2 linked regions of the Pelodiscus sinensis genome follow. The protein of the gene in region 2 binds, or shares a complex with, the protein of the main gene of each other region. Links are inferred from orthologs where the notes say so. Each region holds a gene or a part of one and is shown on either strand. Other genes may lie near its edges.

Evidence for each region. The genes of interacting proteins can lie anywhere in the genome.
Region 1: the proteins of TGFB3 (region 2) and ITGB6 are in contact, whole or in part, in a crystal structure (PDB 4UM9), measured with the Homo sapiens proteins. The link is inferred for Pelodiscus sinensis from reciprocal best matches to the Homo sapiens genes TGFB3 and ITGB6. Residues at the interface, in NP_001316868.1 of Homo sapiens: His259, Gly262, Asp263, Leu264, Arg266, Leu267, Lys268; in NP_000879.2 of Homo sapiens: Ser142, Ala143, Ser144, Asp147, Pro196, Cys197, Ser199, Ile200, Tyr202, Cys204, Ala234, Asn235, Ile236, Asp237, Thr238, Glu240, Asp271, Lys355.

Annotation. Positions count from the first base shown.
Region 1 is NC_134717.1:33,576,364-33,583,561, forward strand, and holds the start of ITGB6 (integrin beta-6), read right to left. Parts: upstream 3,080-7,198; 5' UTR 2,624-3,079; intron 1-2,623. UniProt on the Homo sapiens protein: Integrin alpha-V:beta-6 (ITGAV:ITGB6) is a receptor for fibronectin and cytotactin. It recognizes the sequence R-G-D in its ligands. Internalization of integrin alpha-V/beta-6 via clathrin-mediated endocytosis promotes carcinoma cell invasion.
Region 2 is NC_134714.1:43,366,988-43,374,131, reverse strand, and holds the start of TGFB3 (transforming growth factor beta-3 proprotein), read right to left. Parts: upstream 3,012-7,144; coding exon 2,528-3,011; intron 1-2,527. UniProt on the Homo sapiens protein: Transforming growth factor beta-3 proprotein: Precursor of the Latency-associated peptide (LAP) and Transforming growth factor beta-3 (TGF-beta-3) chains, which constitute the regulatory and active subunit of TGF-beta-3, respectively.

The DNA of each region.
Region 1 (7,198 bases), on a different chromosome or scaffold from region 2:
GAGAAGAGCAGAATATCCTTGTGACAGGGCAAGGTCCTTCTCCTTTCTTTTTTTAATCAACAAACCTCTCAGAGATCTTCTGGTCAGATAGCTCATGGTTTACCTCACTTTGTTCTCCCCACTACCATACAAACTCATCCAGCTCCATAGTTGCAATATCATACAACCCTTAGCTCGCTCAGTCAATGAGGAAGCACAGAAGGTATCTTCACTCAGAATGCTCAGGCACACCTGCAATCTCTCTCTAACCCTGAGTACTTCCTGTGTATCCCTGTTCTACTCCTTAGATAATGGGCTTATTAGTCTTTTGGGCTCTTCTTAGCCTATCCCAAGCTACCAATTAGGCACAGGTCTTAATCAGGGCTATTCTAGAGCAACTACTTGTAGTGGCAGTGATCAGAGTGCTGTATCAGTTTCTGTTTTCCAGCATTCTGTCATAATGCTCATCTCCAATTATTTTCAATTGGGCCTTACCGCACACAGCTCATGGTTATAGTCAGGTGTTGCAGGCCTTTTTTCACCTACTTTCTACTGATTCCCACAAATGAGAAATTATTAGCCTTTACTACTACCAAAACTCTCTTGTTGAAAGAAACATTGAATATGTGACTCCCCCATTCACCCAATGAAGCAAGACAGCTTCAAAGATTGATACGGAAAATATTTGGAAGAATACAAAGACTAATTGAGGCAGTGGACACTAAGGACACATAACTTACTTGTATTGGAATCATCAAGAGTTTTGCCACTGACTTCCCTAGAGTAGGACTGGCGCCCGGCTCTTACTACATTTAAACTGCAGAGCTGCAGCGGGGGTAGTGCTGTCCTTTTCGGTTAATTGTGTAGTCGATACAAATTGTATCAACTACATGATAACCTAATTACCTGCCCATAACAACCTTAGATTTCATAGCAGCCTTCAACTACCTGAAAGGGGTTCCAAAGAGGATGGAGAGAAGCTGTTCTCAGTGCTGACAGATAACAAAATAAGGAACAATGGTCTCAAATTGCAATGGGGGAGGTCTAGGTTGGATATTTCACTAGGAGGGTAGTGAAGTACTGGAATGGGTTACCTAGGGAGGTGGTGGAATCTCCATCCTAGAGATTTTGAAGTCCCAGCTTGATAAAGCCCTGGCTGGGATGATGTAGGTGAGACTGATCCTGCTTTTAGCAGGGGGTTGGATTCGATGACCTTCTAAAGGTCTCTTCCAGCCCCATGATTCTCATATCATTATTGCCTTTCAGGCACTATAGGGGAAGTGACTTGCCCACAGTGGCTAACCCCAAGTCCTGCTCCAGTGTCCTGACCATTAGAACCACACTGTTGTCTGAGTATTTTTTTATGTGATGGGCAAGTTCTGCCAATCCCTCTGGGGAAAGCCTTAAATGTGCTAGAACCAATTTAATTATTATTTCTCTTGCCAGTAGTGACTACAGTCTTCAGTCAGAATCAGAGCTGAATTGTGCAACACTTAGTAAGACAGCCCGCATCCCAAAGAACTTGGCAATCAACACAAATAAATCCATGCAGATTGTGGGAGGTCAAGATTTGGTCTACACCCTTTGCTCATTACAAAGGATCATTTAGTGGAAACTTCAACAATTATGTTGAGAAAAAGAGTGTGGGAGCAGTGGGGATGGGCTGAAAGAATGATGGGATTGTCTCCTTCCATTTCAGTGTAGGAGTAGAGGGTTTTCTGAACTAGTGAAAATGGGCAATTTAATGTCTTGCCTGTGGCCTTCATGGGTCTTTCCCAATGGGATTCCATGGGCTGTGTGCAGTAATAGCTATAATGCTATGAATGATTATTAAAAATAAATTATAGCAGTTAAGCATAGCTTTATCTTCTCTGTTTTAAACCTGGGTGAAGTGTTCAGTCACTGTGTTAATATATCATTTTTTTCATTAATAGGATTTTAGCATCATTTGATCAGATCACTAAAAACAGCTATTTTTGCATGATTATTAATAATTAACAGTTGAAGAGTGCATGGAAGTTGTATAGAATTATAAATTGGATGTATTATGTGGGACTGGATTCTTGGCAGACTTTACAGATTATTCTAATACATGTTTATAATCATATTTATATATTTTAGACCTCTTAATGCAGCAGAATGTTTGAAACTACCACCTGTGACTAATTACCTTCACCATTCCAGTTTTAATACAAAAGAAATAAAGACTTGGGTCATAGTGACACTTACAAAACATCTAAAACTGCTATATGAAGAAAGAGTGAACACTCAGCCAAATAACCCCCAGAAAAAGTGATAAAGTAAAGGAAATGCTAGAAGATCCTTAAATGTTAACTACACAAGCTGCTACCCAATATCAAGAGATACTGAAGACACACTCACAAATATGTCTACTTTTCAATGTATTTTAGAATGAAACACATCCTCTTTAGCAATCAGCATTATCTTTAAAAAATCTGTTGTGTGAACTGAGCCAAAATGTGATTACTTATAAATATATTTATGAATTCATCATAGATGTATATTTCTTCTATGCCCAGATGAAGATTAAAACAACAAGAATACAGATCTAGAACTTATGTAGCAAGTTTTTTCAGCCAGGCATTATTGTAAGATTTTTTTAGCCATGCATTATATCACTTACCTTTCAGGACAGGCCTTTAATTTCAGAAAATGATGAAAGATGTTATCATACTCATTTTCAAAAATCTTCGCTAGACATAATTATCTTTGCTGTGGTAATAAACAGATTCCAAGTGTTCCGGTATTAACAGTCCTTAAGTACCTCATAAGCTTTAATTATCCTTCCACAAGTTAAAATGAATATTTTGGGTGAAGCACATGGTTTTAGAAGACTATGAAGATACAGCCCTAGTAAAAAACAGAATGTCTGGTTGATTTACATGAAATACCAAGTGCTTGTGTGAGAAAAGGTTAAAATTAGATTGACGAGCAAATGTGTTACCAGACTGCTGGCTGACAAATGGCAAAGCTATGCCAATGTATTACTTATATTGGAACTGTACTAAGAGTAAGCAGGAAGATAAATCTTATGTGCTAGAATACATTCAAACATAGCATAAACAAAGAATGCTGGGGTGGCCACAACAGAGGCATGCCGGGGATTTACATATTTTGTGGCACTAAAATACAGCATTGGTACAATTTAACAATTAGATATGGAGATCCTGACGCCTGTTTTGTGAACAAGTCAAGAGAGGCTGCTTTGATGGTATACAAATGCATTTATAATATTCCTGTTGGATGACTATACATCAGTTTCTGATAAATAAATGTCTTTCACTAACCACGGTGACTAAAGGCCCCTATGGCCTAAGAGACTCTTTCTTAGTTAGGAGAAACAATGGAAATGGGAATTAATCATATAATACAGTGACTCCCATCTTGACTAAGATCTGATCTCTTCTTGGTGGTGAATGAAGAGCAGTCTGGTCATACAGAAGTGGCCCTCTTTTTTCCAGCTATTTCCATAGTGATCCAGGCTTTCAGCCAAATTATGACCATTTAGGACAAAAATTTCAAGTGTCCATTAATTGTACATGCATCGCTTGAGACATCATGGGCATTATATGTGAGCTGGAGTGGTGGTTGCTTAGCCTATCTGAAAATTAGGTTCTAGATTAATCAAGCTAGATATTCAAAAACTGAGGCACCAAAAATATAGTGGCCACTTTAAAAAATATAGGCCTTAATGACTTATCAGTTCAGTGGATAGGTAGTCTGATACTTGTATGATGTTTCTACAAAATGTAGGTATTATATCTAAATAGAAGGAAAATGTTATAAATATTTCAGGCTGCTACTCTGTAATCACCACCTCACCATGCTGCTCTATGTGCATTTTAAACAACAACAGTTTTAAAAATTTAGCATGCAGAACCCTTACTCATGATGGATATAATCTGTACTATATGTCTACAATTCTATGGGCTCCATATAGTATATCATTTTATTTATCAAACAACATGCAACACGTTCCCTTTGAACTTAAGGGCAAGTCTGCCAATGACTTGAATGGGATTAGAATTTGACCATAGTGTGAACTTTACAATACTTAAACATTGATTTAAAGGGAGTTTACACAGTAGATTTTATGGACCATATGGACTTTAACCTAAACAGAAATTTAAGTAATCAACATGTCACTTTTAGAACTGAAAATCTGCCACTTTAATGAGACACTTTGAGGAGAGAGGGCCTGTTTCATAAATCAGGTGGCATGATCTAGATCCAATGTGCTACAAAGTACATGGAGCCGTTATTGTGCCTATGTAAGAGTAAAATTAATTGTACAAAAATATTAGAGGACATGTAGAAAGGACCACAAATGACCAGAGATAAGCTGAAACAAAACATCCAGGCCTGAATTGTGGCGCATGCCATTATTTCTGTAACAGGATAGTAATAATAATAAATTTAAAAAATGCAGATCCTCTCCAAACATTTGGAGCTGAAACTATACAAAGAACAAATGCTGCACTGTTAAATTAGCATTTGCATGTGTACTTTCTACCCACCCAGCAGTAAGTCAGGTATGGATTCAGTGCACCCTAACCCGTAAAATTGCTGTGTCCCATAAGCCAAGTATATCCTGAATAGCTCTTTTCATTGAGATAGTAAAGGAATAAGAATGAGAACTGCTATGTTTTGGGTCTGAAAGATCAAATAGAAAAAAAAAAAGATTCTGCTAGGCTTGCAGAAAACCAGACAGTAACGCATTTAACAGGCATCCGAGGGGTATTAACAGGTATTCTTAAACTGGGGGTTTTGAATCACTGGTAAGGTTCCCCCAAAAAACTCCTTAAAGCAACAAAGGGCTAAATCCTGCAACTGCACAGATTCTCCCCTATTAACTTCAACAAAATACAGCATAGGCCTCTGAGGGCAGCTCCCGCACTCAAGTAAAGATAACATCAACTGCATGGCAGAATCAAACCTTATGTATCTGTATTTAGCTATCTAATTCAGAATCAAACGCTTAACCTTGTTCATAAACAGAAAAGTGAGGCTTCTACATCTCAGTCTTAACTTACTCCATGTGCCTGGTGGCTTTTTGATATTGGGAAATATCTGCGATCCAGTGAATATGGTGCTGTGACTTATAATCAGGCCTGCCAATAAGGGTGGGGTGGAGCGGGGCAAGGGAGCAACTGCCCCAGGGTCCAGTGCTGAGGGCTGTCTGGAGGAAGCAAGCTCTAGCCCCACCTCTTCTGCTTGAGGCCCTGCCCCTTCCAGGGGCATGGAGCCAAAACCCCTCACCTTACCCAGGGGCCCAGCGAGTCTGTCGGCCCCACTGTTTGTAATACTTTCATTGTATTTTTGTCTGCACAGCCATATACACTTCCAATGACACTTTATGCTAAGTAAATATGTTTGTGGCCACATGAGGATGAATTAAAAATAAGTGAGAACCTTTTCCCTTTTATATCATACTCTTAATGTTACTGTAAATATAATTTTCTTAAGCAGCATCTGTGATTTTGTGCAATTAGCTTAGATATCGATATAACAAAAAGCTGCTCATATTCCCAAAATTCGAATTGTGCACTGACTTACACAGATGAATCAATATAAAATTTACTTTGCACTAAACAGCCTAAGTTCAGAGGTACATGCAACACATTTTCAATTTTAGGCTTTACAATATTTTATATTTGCTCTTCAAGAGGGCGCATATACTGACTGGTTTGTTCAGGTTGCTCTCTGTCAGTGCCCCATGACTTGAACAAGACCATAATAGATTCACTTAATTGCTTGCAAGCAAGATGGAAAGCTTAGCAGAAATATGCAGGATGGTTTTGATATCCCAGGTCCAAGAATAGGACTATGTGGGTGTAAAAAGTCTGCTGTTCTTGTCTCCAGCTTTCCTCATACTGTGTATTTTACGATCAGGCATTCCATAGTGTACACAGCCATACACATATCTCTTTAACGTTTATGGGTTAAATTCTAAAATCTTTACACAGGGCAAATTCCATTGGTCCCATGGGAGTTTGGCCTGTATAAGGACTTCAGGATTTGAACACCAAATAGCCTGTGCAGCCTGTAGCTCATTGGTTCAAGCTGCCTCGTTTTAATCCTATACAATATGCCAAGACAAAACATTTCCCCCTCATTAGCAATCTGGAGAGGAATGCCAGAGCTTATTTTGATAGCCACTAGAATAGTGGCTCCCAAACCTTTCGGCATCACGCCCCCTTTTTGATTTTTGAGAAACCCTCAAACTTCCCCCGCCCCAGCCAAAAAATAGCAGCAAAACTTGAGGGAAAAGGGACGGGGGAGAGGAAACCAGTCACGGCCCTTTAATTCCCAGGATCAGTGTTAAAAAAGAAAAAAAAGGCCGGGGAGGGGGGAGTCGTTGACCCAAAAAAGGAAAAAGATTGCCCTTTTAAGAGCAGAGCAGGCATTGCCCTTTGAAGGCAGTCATTTTGAAGTCTGCCCGGAATGCTCCATCCATTCGTTTTCTGAATTTTTTTACCGGATGGACCGGGCTCTTTCTTGGGGAGAGGATAGATGGGGAAAAGGTGGGCTGGGTTGCCTAACATCCCCCCTGGAATTTCTTCACACCCCCCAGTTTGGAACCTATGCACTAGAGAATGGTTTGTTGAGGTATGTTTGCTGAGAAGAGCAGTGATAGATGTCTGAAGCACAAACAGAAACCACGCACCACTTGCCTGATTTTAATTTTCAGTACATCCTCCTCAAGCCTTCTCTGTGCACTGAAACACTCAGGCTATGTCTACATTGCACTTTCTTGCGCAAGACCATATGCAAATTAGTTTTATGTCTACATTGTGGTTTCTTGCTCAAGAACATATGCAAATGAGGCATGGCAATGAATATTGCCGCACCTCATTTGCATACTTAATGAGCTGCCATTTTTGCACAAGGGGCTTTTGCGCAAGAAGGCGCTGTCTACTCTGCTCCTTCTTGCGCAAACCCCCCCTCTTGCGCAAGAGCCGTTCTGCCACTTATTTTCAGGCAGAACAGCTCTTGCACAAGAGGGGATTTTTGCACAAGAAGGAGCAGTGTAGATTGTTCCTTCTTAAGAAAAAGCCCCTTGCACAAAAATGGAGGCTCATTAAGTATGCAAATGAGGCACGGCAATATTCATCACCATGCCTCATTTGCATATGTTCTTGTGCAAGAAACCACAATGTAAACATAGCTTCAGAGCTTATGAAGGAGCCACATGCTT
Region 2 (7,144 bases):
CCAATGCAATACTACAGCATCAAGGAACACCCTGGCTACATCTAGACTGGCATGATTTTCCACAAATGCTTTTAACGGAAAAGATTTCCGTTAAAAGCATTTGCGGAAAAGAGTGTCTAGATTGGCACGGACACTTTTCCGCAAAAGCACTGATTTGCGCAAGAGGGCTTTTGCCCGAACGGGAGCAGCATAGTATTTCTGCAAGAAGCACTGATTTCAGACAGTGGAAGTCAGTGTTCTTGCGGAAATTCAAGTGGCCAGTGTAGACAGCTGGCAAGTTTTTCCGCAAAAGCAGCTGATTTTGCAGAAAAACTTGCCAGTCTAGACATAACCCCTGTGTTGGGACATCACTGCATGTCTTCCATTGTATTCCAGAACTGAGGAATCTCCAGCACTGACTGAAGGGATTGCTCAGTCCCAACATCCATTCAGCTCCCACATCTGCAATCTGCTCGGGATTGGTGTCTGCTCAGTCTCTAGGTCTGTATCTGAACCTGAATCTGGTTAGTGTCTGCATCTGTATCTGCTCAACATCTGCTCTGCACTTGCTCCACATCTGTTTTTCAGTATCTCCTTGGTGTGTGTGTGTCCCATTGAGATCTCCTCTGCATCTACTTTGGTGTCTGCTCTGCACCTGCTCAGCATCTATGTGATCCTCTGCTCATTATCTGTCCCCTCAGTATCTGTTTCTCCTGAGCGTCTCTCCAGTATCTGCTCAGCATCTGAGTCTCCTCTGCATTTATGCAGTGTCTTATCATTGTGTGTGTCTCCTTAGTATCTGAGTTTCCTCAGCATCTCCTCTGTCTTCCCTTAGTGGCTGTACCTCTCCACATCTCCATGTCTGCCTTCCTCTGTACATGTATCTTTGTCTTCTCTGCATCTGACTACATTCTGCAGAGTAAATGAGCCAAATCCATTCCTACTGCAACCACTGAAGCCAGCAGAGTTTTGCCACAGATTAATATGGCCCAGCACTGGGACTATGTTTTCCGCATGCAGACACGCTTTTATTTCTGCTACTAATCCTTTAGGGTGAATTCAGCCTACAAGCCCCAAACTCTTTCCTCCTCATCGCCTCCGCTCACCATCTTTTTTCTTTCTTCTCTCTCCTCCAGTCGGGTGTATGTGTCTCCTCCCTTCCCATCTTCTTCAGGATATCAGGGCTTCAAACATTGGCTGGGCTTGCTATTCCTTGGCTAGAGTCTAGGCTGATGTTATTCCAAGACACTGAAAGCCCATCCCTTGCCTGCCGCTTGCCAATGCTCAAACTCCTCCACCTGCTGGAGGCTGCTCTCCAGCCAGCACTTGGCCATTTAAAAAAAATTGTTTTTAAAATTCATCTTTAGGTTTTTTTCAGACCCCTCCCACTCACACTGCTTATCTCCAGGCTCCCCTATACACTCTACATACCACCCCCACACCTATGGCTCTCTAGTGTTGTCTTCACTCTATTCCCCCAACATACACACTTGCTGCCCCAATAAACAATAATTTCAGCGTCCATGAGGACACCTTATGGTATGAAGGCAGCATGAGGCTATTCCCAGACTCTGGGGTTCTCGTCTGTGCAGTCTCTCAGCATTTGCCAGATTTCTTTCATTCCTACTGTGCTTTGAAAATCTTTGTTGTAATCATGTGATTCACATACACTGAACATATATGTTCAAAGGCATGCAAAAGCACATATACATCTCACAACTTCCCTATATGAGCAAATACACATGCCAAGAAACACTGCACACTGAAACGCATGGACTCTTCCCAACCATGTACAAACCTCCATGAAGATATGAAAACATATTACTCCCACTCAGCTATACCCCAAGACACAGAAACAAATGTCTCATATGTCACTCCAGCCTCACATAGGGCTGAAACACACGTAGTCTTATCTCACTGGTAAAAAATGTAGATACATAAACAGACGCACTGGCACTCACACATGTGCACACACATACTTGGACAAACATGTGCGCACACATTCACATATAAAATACATGCACATGTGCGCAGACACAGACAGACAATGCATAATATAGAATGTGCACATGCAAAAATAGACCTGTGTGTACACATTCACTTTTGTACAGAAAGCTACACAACTAGCTGTACATACACACCCACACATAAGCATTGTCAGGCACACACTTTACAGCAATGTGGCCTAGATCAATCACCTAAAAAAAGACAACAAAAGAGTTGCTATTTTTTTTCTTTGCTAGAAGTGGATGGGAAAGCAGACGTGTCCACAGTTACTAGACACCTGCCTCAGAATGGCTATCAGAATCTGTGAATGCTCCTGCCAGGAAACTTCATCCCTTCCAGAGGGAAGTGCAAAGTATTCCTCCTGCATTCCCCCTCCCCTGTCCCAGTAGAAGGCACTGCTGTCCCTTCCTTCTTGCTCCCCACCCTAGGCAGCCTTGCCTCTGGGCTTCATGCACTATGCACCTCCTGCTCAGTTTTGGGTCCCTCCCAGGATGACGCCCTGAAAGCCATGCACAGGAGCAGAGGATGATGGGGAACTTACTGTGCTCGGGAAGACCCTGGATCAGATCAAATTTGTGGATTTCCTTGGCGTAATATTCGGACTCGGTGCTGTCCTGAAAGCAGCTCTCCTCCTTCTCCTCCTCCATCTCCTCCAGCAGCTCCCGGGTGCTGTTATACAGGGCCAGAATCTGGTAGGGCACATGAGTTGGTCCTACCGTCTCGGGGGGGCTCGTGAGCCTCAACTTACTCAGAATCTGCCCCCTGATGGCCTCCACCCTCTTCTTCTTGATGTGGTCGAGTTCTAGGGTGGTGCAAGAGGAGAGCGAGAGACTGACGGTGGCAAAGCTCAGCAGGCACAGGACCACCAGCGCCCGTTGCAAGTGCATCTTCATGTGCGAGAGTAAAGAGGGAGCCACAACGAGGGGACACCCCAGAGGAAGCGCAAGTGGGCTAAGGAGACTAGGCAGGGCTTTCGGTACAGCCTCCCCAGATCCTGCAGACTGAGGCTTGGCACGAAGGTGCATGAACTCACTGTGCAGTGAGCGATTCAGGACTTCCAGGAAGCGCTGGCAACACTTAGGAAGGAGAAACAGGCTCTGTGCCGCGGCGAGCCGGGATCTTTCTCCATGTGTCCAAGCAGGACCCGCTGAGCCAGGGCTCCAGACAGACCAGGGCAGGGGAGGGCGCCTCCGCACGAAGCCAGGAACAACCGCAGAGAGGCTGGAGCTCGACTGTGCCGCGGGGCAGTCTCGCAGCTCCAGAGGCAGGTCCCCTGGAGCAGCGACCTCCTGCGCCCGTGTCAGGCAGCCCCCCGGGGACGGGCAGGCGCAGGCTCCGCACACTTGTTGCGGGCATGCACTATCCACGCGCGCCCCTTAGTTCACAGCCCCTCGCGGGGCAGGACGGGGTTTGTCATTCGCGGCCGCTTGGCTCCATTGGCGCTGCGAGGAATTAAGCGACGGCCGCGCTGCACATCCCTCCGGCGTCTCCGCGGGGTCCAGGTAGGAGCCTGGGGTAGCTCAGCGCTGCCCCTCGCCTCGCTTTGCGGGCGGTATCCCCACGCGCAGCCGGAGCCCCGTGCGCGCCTGTCCTTTTCGCTCGCCCTCTCTGGCCCCCGGCCCCCTCGCTCCCTCACACACTGACTCTCTATTCCGCTCGGCTGAAATTTTATACCTCCCTCCCATGACGTCTGCGGGCCTGCAGGAGGGTGGGGGAGGGACCTGCCGGCCCAGCGTTCACATTCAACCCGGGTTTAATGCGTTGCACAGGCGCGAGGGGAGGGGGGCAAATCCCAGGCTCGGCCTCTCGCCCGGCTGTCTGGCTCGGGCCGGTGTCCCACCTCCCTAGGGGGGAGGGTCGGTGCTTTGCCCCCAGTCTCCCCTCTGCACCGTCCCGCTCGCGCCCCTTCTCCTGCCACTTCCCACTTTTTGCTCCCCAGCCCTGGTTTGACCGCGTTCTTCCCCGCCGCCCCGCTGAGCAGCGCCTCCCTCCCCCTGGGCCCCGCCCGCGGGGTGATCCTGGGGGACGAAGCCCACTGCCGGGCTGGCGGGTTCCGAAATGGGACGTGGGCACGTGCCTGGGCCCGCAACAAGACCCTGCTGCACCGCGTTCGGGGCCGGGGGGAGACTCAGCGCACGGGCCCCGCGCGGCTTTAATCGTGGTCCGGGGCAGCTCTGCGGGCCGGCTCGGAACGCGCTCCCGGGGCCGGGAAGTCAGGGTGGGGCTTTCGGGAAAGCCAATGGCGCTCTCTGGCGGGGAGCACAGGCCGGTGGCGCGGCTCCTAGGCAGCCGCTCACCCCCGCCGTTCCCAGCCTGAGCTCCTTGCAGCCCTCGCTGGTGGTCCGCAGAGAGCTGGCGGGTGACTTGAGGCTGGCGCCTCCGCTGATTTCCAGCTGCTAAATTGCATTAAAAGAAGCTAAAAATACATGACATACTTTGCTGATGTGATTTTTCCATGTGAGCAATTGCTGGAGCTGCTGGAGCGATGGGATACAGCAGGGAAGGGGAAGGGATATGAGGGACCGGGGTGGTGGAGGTGAGGGATGGCATGGCTGGGCAGGTAATGGCAAATAGGATTGGGGCAAGGGATTCAAGAGCCAGCAACAGAGTCTGGGAGAGGGGGAGCTAGAAAGTGGATCCAAGCAGTGGATAGGATGTGGAAAGGGGGGCAATTTTTATGGGTGGGCTGGATAAAGCCTTACTTAGATTCAGAAGGCATGGACAAGTAGGGGAACTAAGTATTCTACATGCCCATATGGCCCCCCTCACCATAGTGTGTCAGCACCCCACAATCTTTCATGTATTATCCTGTGAAGTTGGGAAGTACCACTATCACTGTTTTGGAAGGGGAACTGAAGCACAGAGAGTCTTTGGGTATGTCTACACTGCAAAAAATCCCCACAACAGCGAATCTCAGGACCCTGGTCAACTGACTTAGGTTTGCTATGGGACTAAAATAATGTCAGGACATTTCCACCAGAGGAGGAGCCCTGGCTCTGAGACCCTCCACCTTTGTTCAGGTTTCAAGAGCCCATGCTCCAGGGCAAACAGCAATCTCTGTACTGCTATTTTTAGCCCCTTAGCACCAATCCCATGACCCAAATCAGTTGGTTTGGGCTCTGTGAGACCTGTTGCTTCAGGGTTTGGGATTTTTTGAAAAGTGTAGACATACCCTATATGACTTGTCCAAAATCACACAGGAAGTTTGTGGCACAGCAGGGCATTTACCTGTCTCCCAAATCCTAGGCTAGCAACCTGCCCACAGAATTATTCTTCTCTGTGCTTAGCTCTTTTATAGCTTTTCATCCCAAGATCTCAAAGTCTTTTTACATAGCAGGTCAGTGCCATTAAAAGTAATTCTTGAAGACTCGGCCTACCCCTTCCTACCTGTGGCTCATGAAGCCAGACACAGGCAGCCTGGATCACAGCAAGGAGCAGTTCAACAACAGGCTGAGAAAGTGCAGAATGGTGCTAGAATATGCTTTTGGACTTTTAAAGGGAAGGTTTTGAAGTTTTTTACTAGGTTAGATCTCAGCAAAAGCAACATTCCCATTGTTATAGCAGCCTGCTGTGTGCTCCATAATACCTGTGAAAGTAAGGAGGAAAGCTTTATGCAGGGTGGGGGCCTGAGGGGCCTGACACTAGGGAAATAAGGAGCATGCATTGTGTATCGGAGAAGCTTTGAAAAACAGCTTTGTGAATGGCCAGACAATGATATGACAGTCATGTGCATTGCTCTTAAGTGTGCTTGCCTGTAAATCCTGTAACCTCTCTTCCAGGCAACAAAAGCAATAAAGATACTGTTGTTGAGACATAATGTGTTTTTATTTAGTGAACACAAGGAAGAAGGGACAGAAACGGAGTTCAGGGCAGGAGCTTGGGCACGGTGTGTGAGACATGGGAAAGCAGCATATTACAAACCCCCTTGGTGGTATAGATTCAGTGTTTAGAAAATCTACTTAATGTAGTTAAGTTCAACCTAAACTTCTAGGCTACGTCTACACTAACCACCCACTCTTGTGCAAGAAGATTTACAGTACGGCATGGTAAGAGAGGGCTTCTTGCGCAAGAGCTACGCTCTTTTTTTACAAGTGTAAGCCTTCTTGCACAACAGCGCTTGTGCAAGAGGGCAGTATGGATGCACGGCAGGGGTTTCTTGTGCAAGAAAGCCCTATAGCCAAAATGGCCATCAGAGCTTCCTTGCGCAAGAGAGTGTCCACACTGCCATGGATGCTCTTGCGCAAAAGCACATCTCACACATGGCAGTGTGGACATGTTCTTGCACAATACTTCTTGCACAAGAACCTACCAGTGTAGACATAGCCCTAGTGTAGACCAGGCCTAAGGTTAAAGGAATGGTGAAGCAGTATTGGGCTAAAAGGGCCCTACCCCTGAACAGCTCTCGGAGATGCTCCATATGGCGGACTTACTTAAAGAGAGCTCTGACAGTCAAGTGAGGATGACAGAAAGTGACAGACTGCCCGCAAGAAGACAAATAGGCTGTATGTGCTGAGGCAGAATCAGCCACTGGGGGAAGAGCCAGCCTTGTAAGGCTTGGCTGGTAGACTGCACCTTAACCCCCCACATCTCTTCCTGATTGGGGGAGCAACTGGTCTCTGACAATAACAGTAACGTTATTTCGGAATAACATCTCAGAAGAGTGCATCTACACTGCAAGACATTATTTTGAAATAATGTCGAGCTGGAGGACTTCTTACTCTGACTCATGGTAATCCCCATTTCACAAGGAGTAAGGGAAGTCAAAGGGAGAGTGTTCTTCCTTCAACTTCCTACTGTGTAGACAGCACCAAGAGCTGAATTAAGCTATTTTGACTTCAGCTATGCAATTGACTTAGCTGAAGTTGCGTAACTTAATGTGAGTTTTGCCCTGCTGTGTAGATGTACCCAGAGAGAGAGAGAGATGGGAAATCTCCAGATGAGATTCTAATTACTGAGCTTTACAAACTTAAGTTGCAGCTGCAAGACACAGCTTAGTTTTAAGTAGGAAAATGAGACTTGTGATCTACACGCTGGAACCAGACAACTCAAGCATTTACTTTAGTCAGAAAGGCAAGCTAAAATTCAATTTGCTAGTCAAGACAGAACAGGCTTTGTAGCAGAATAAACTATAATGTGAGTATCTGCTGCTGCTGCAAAA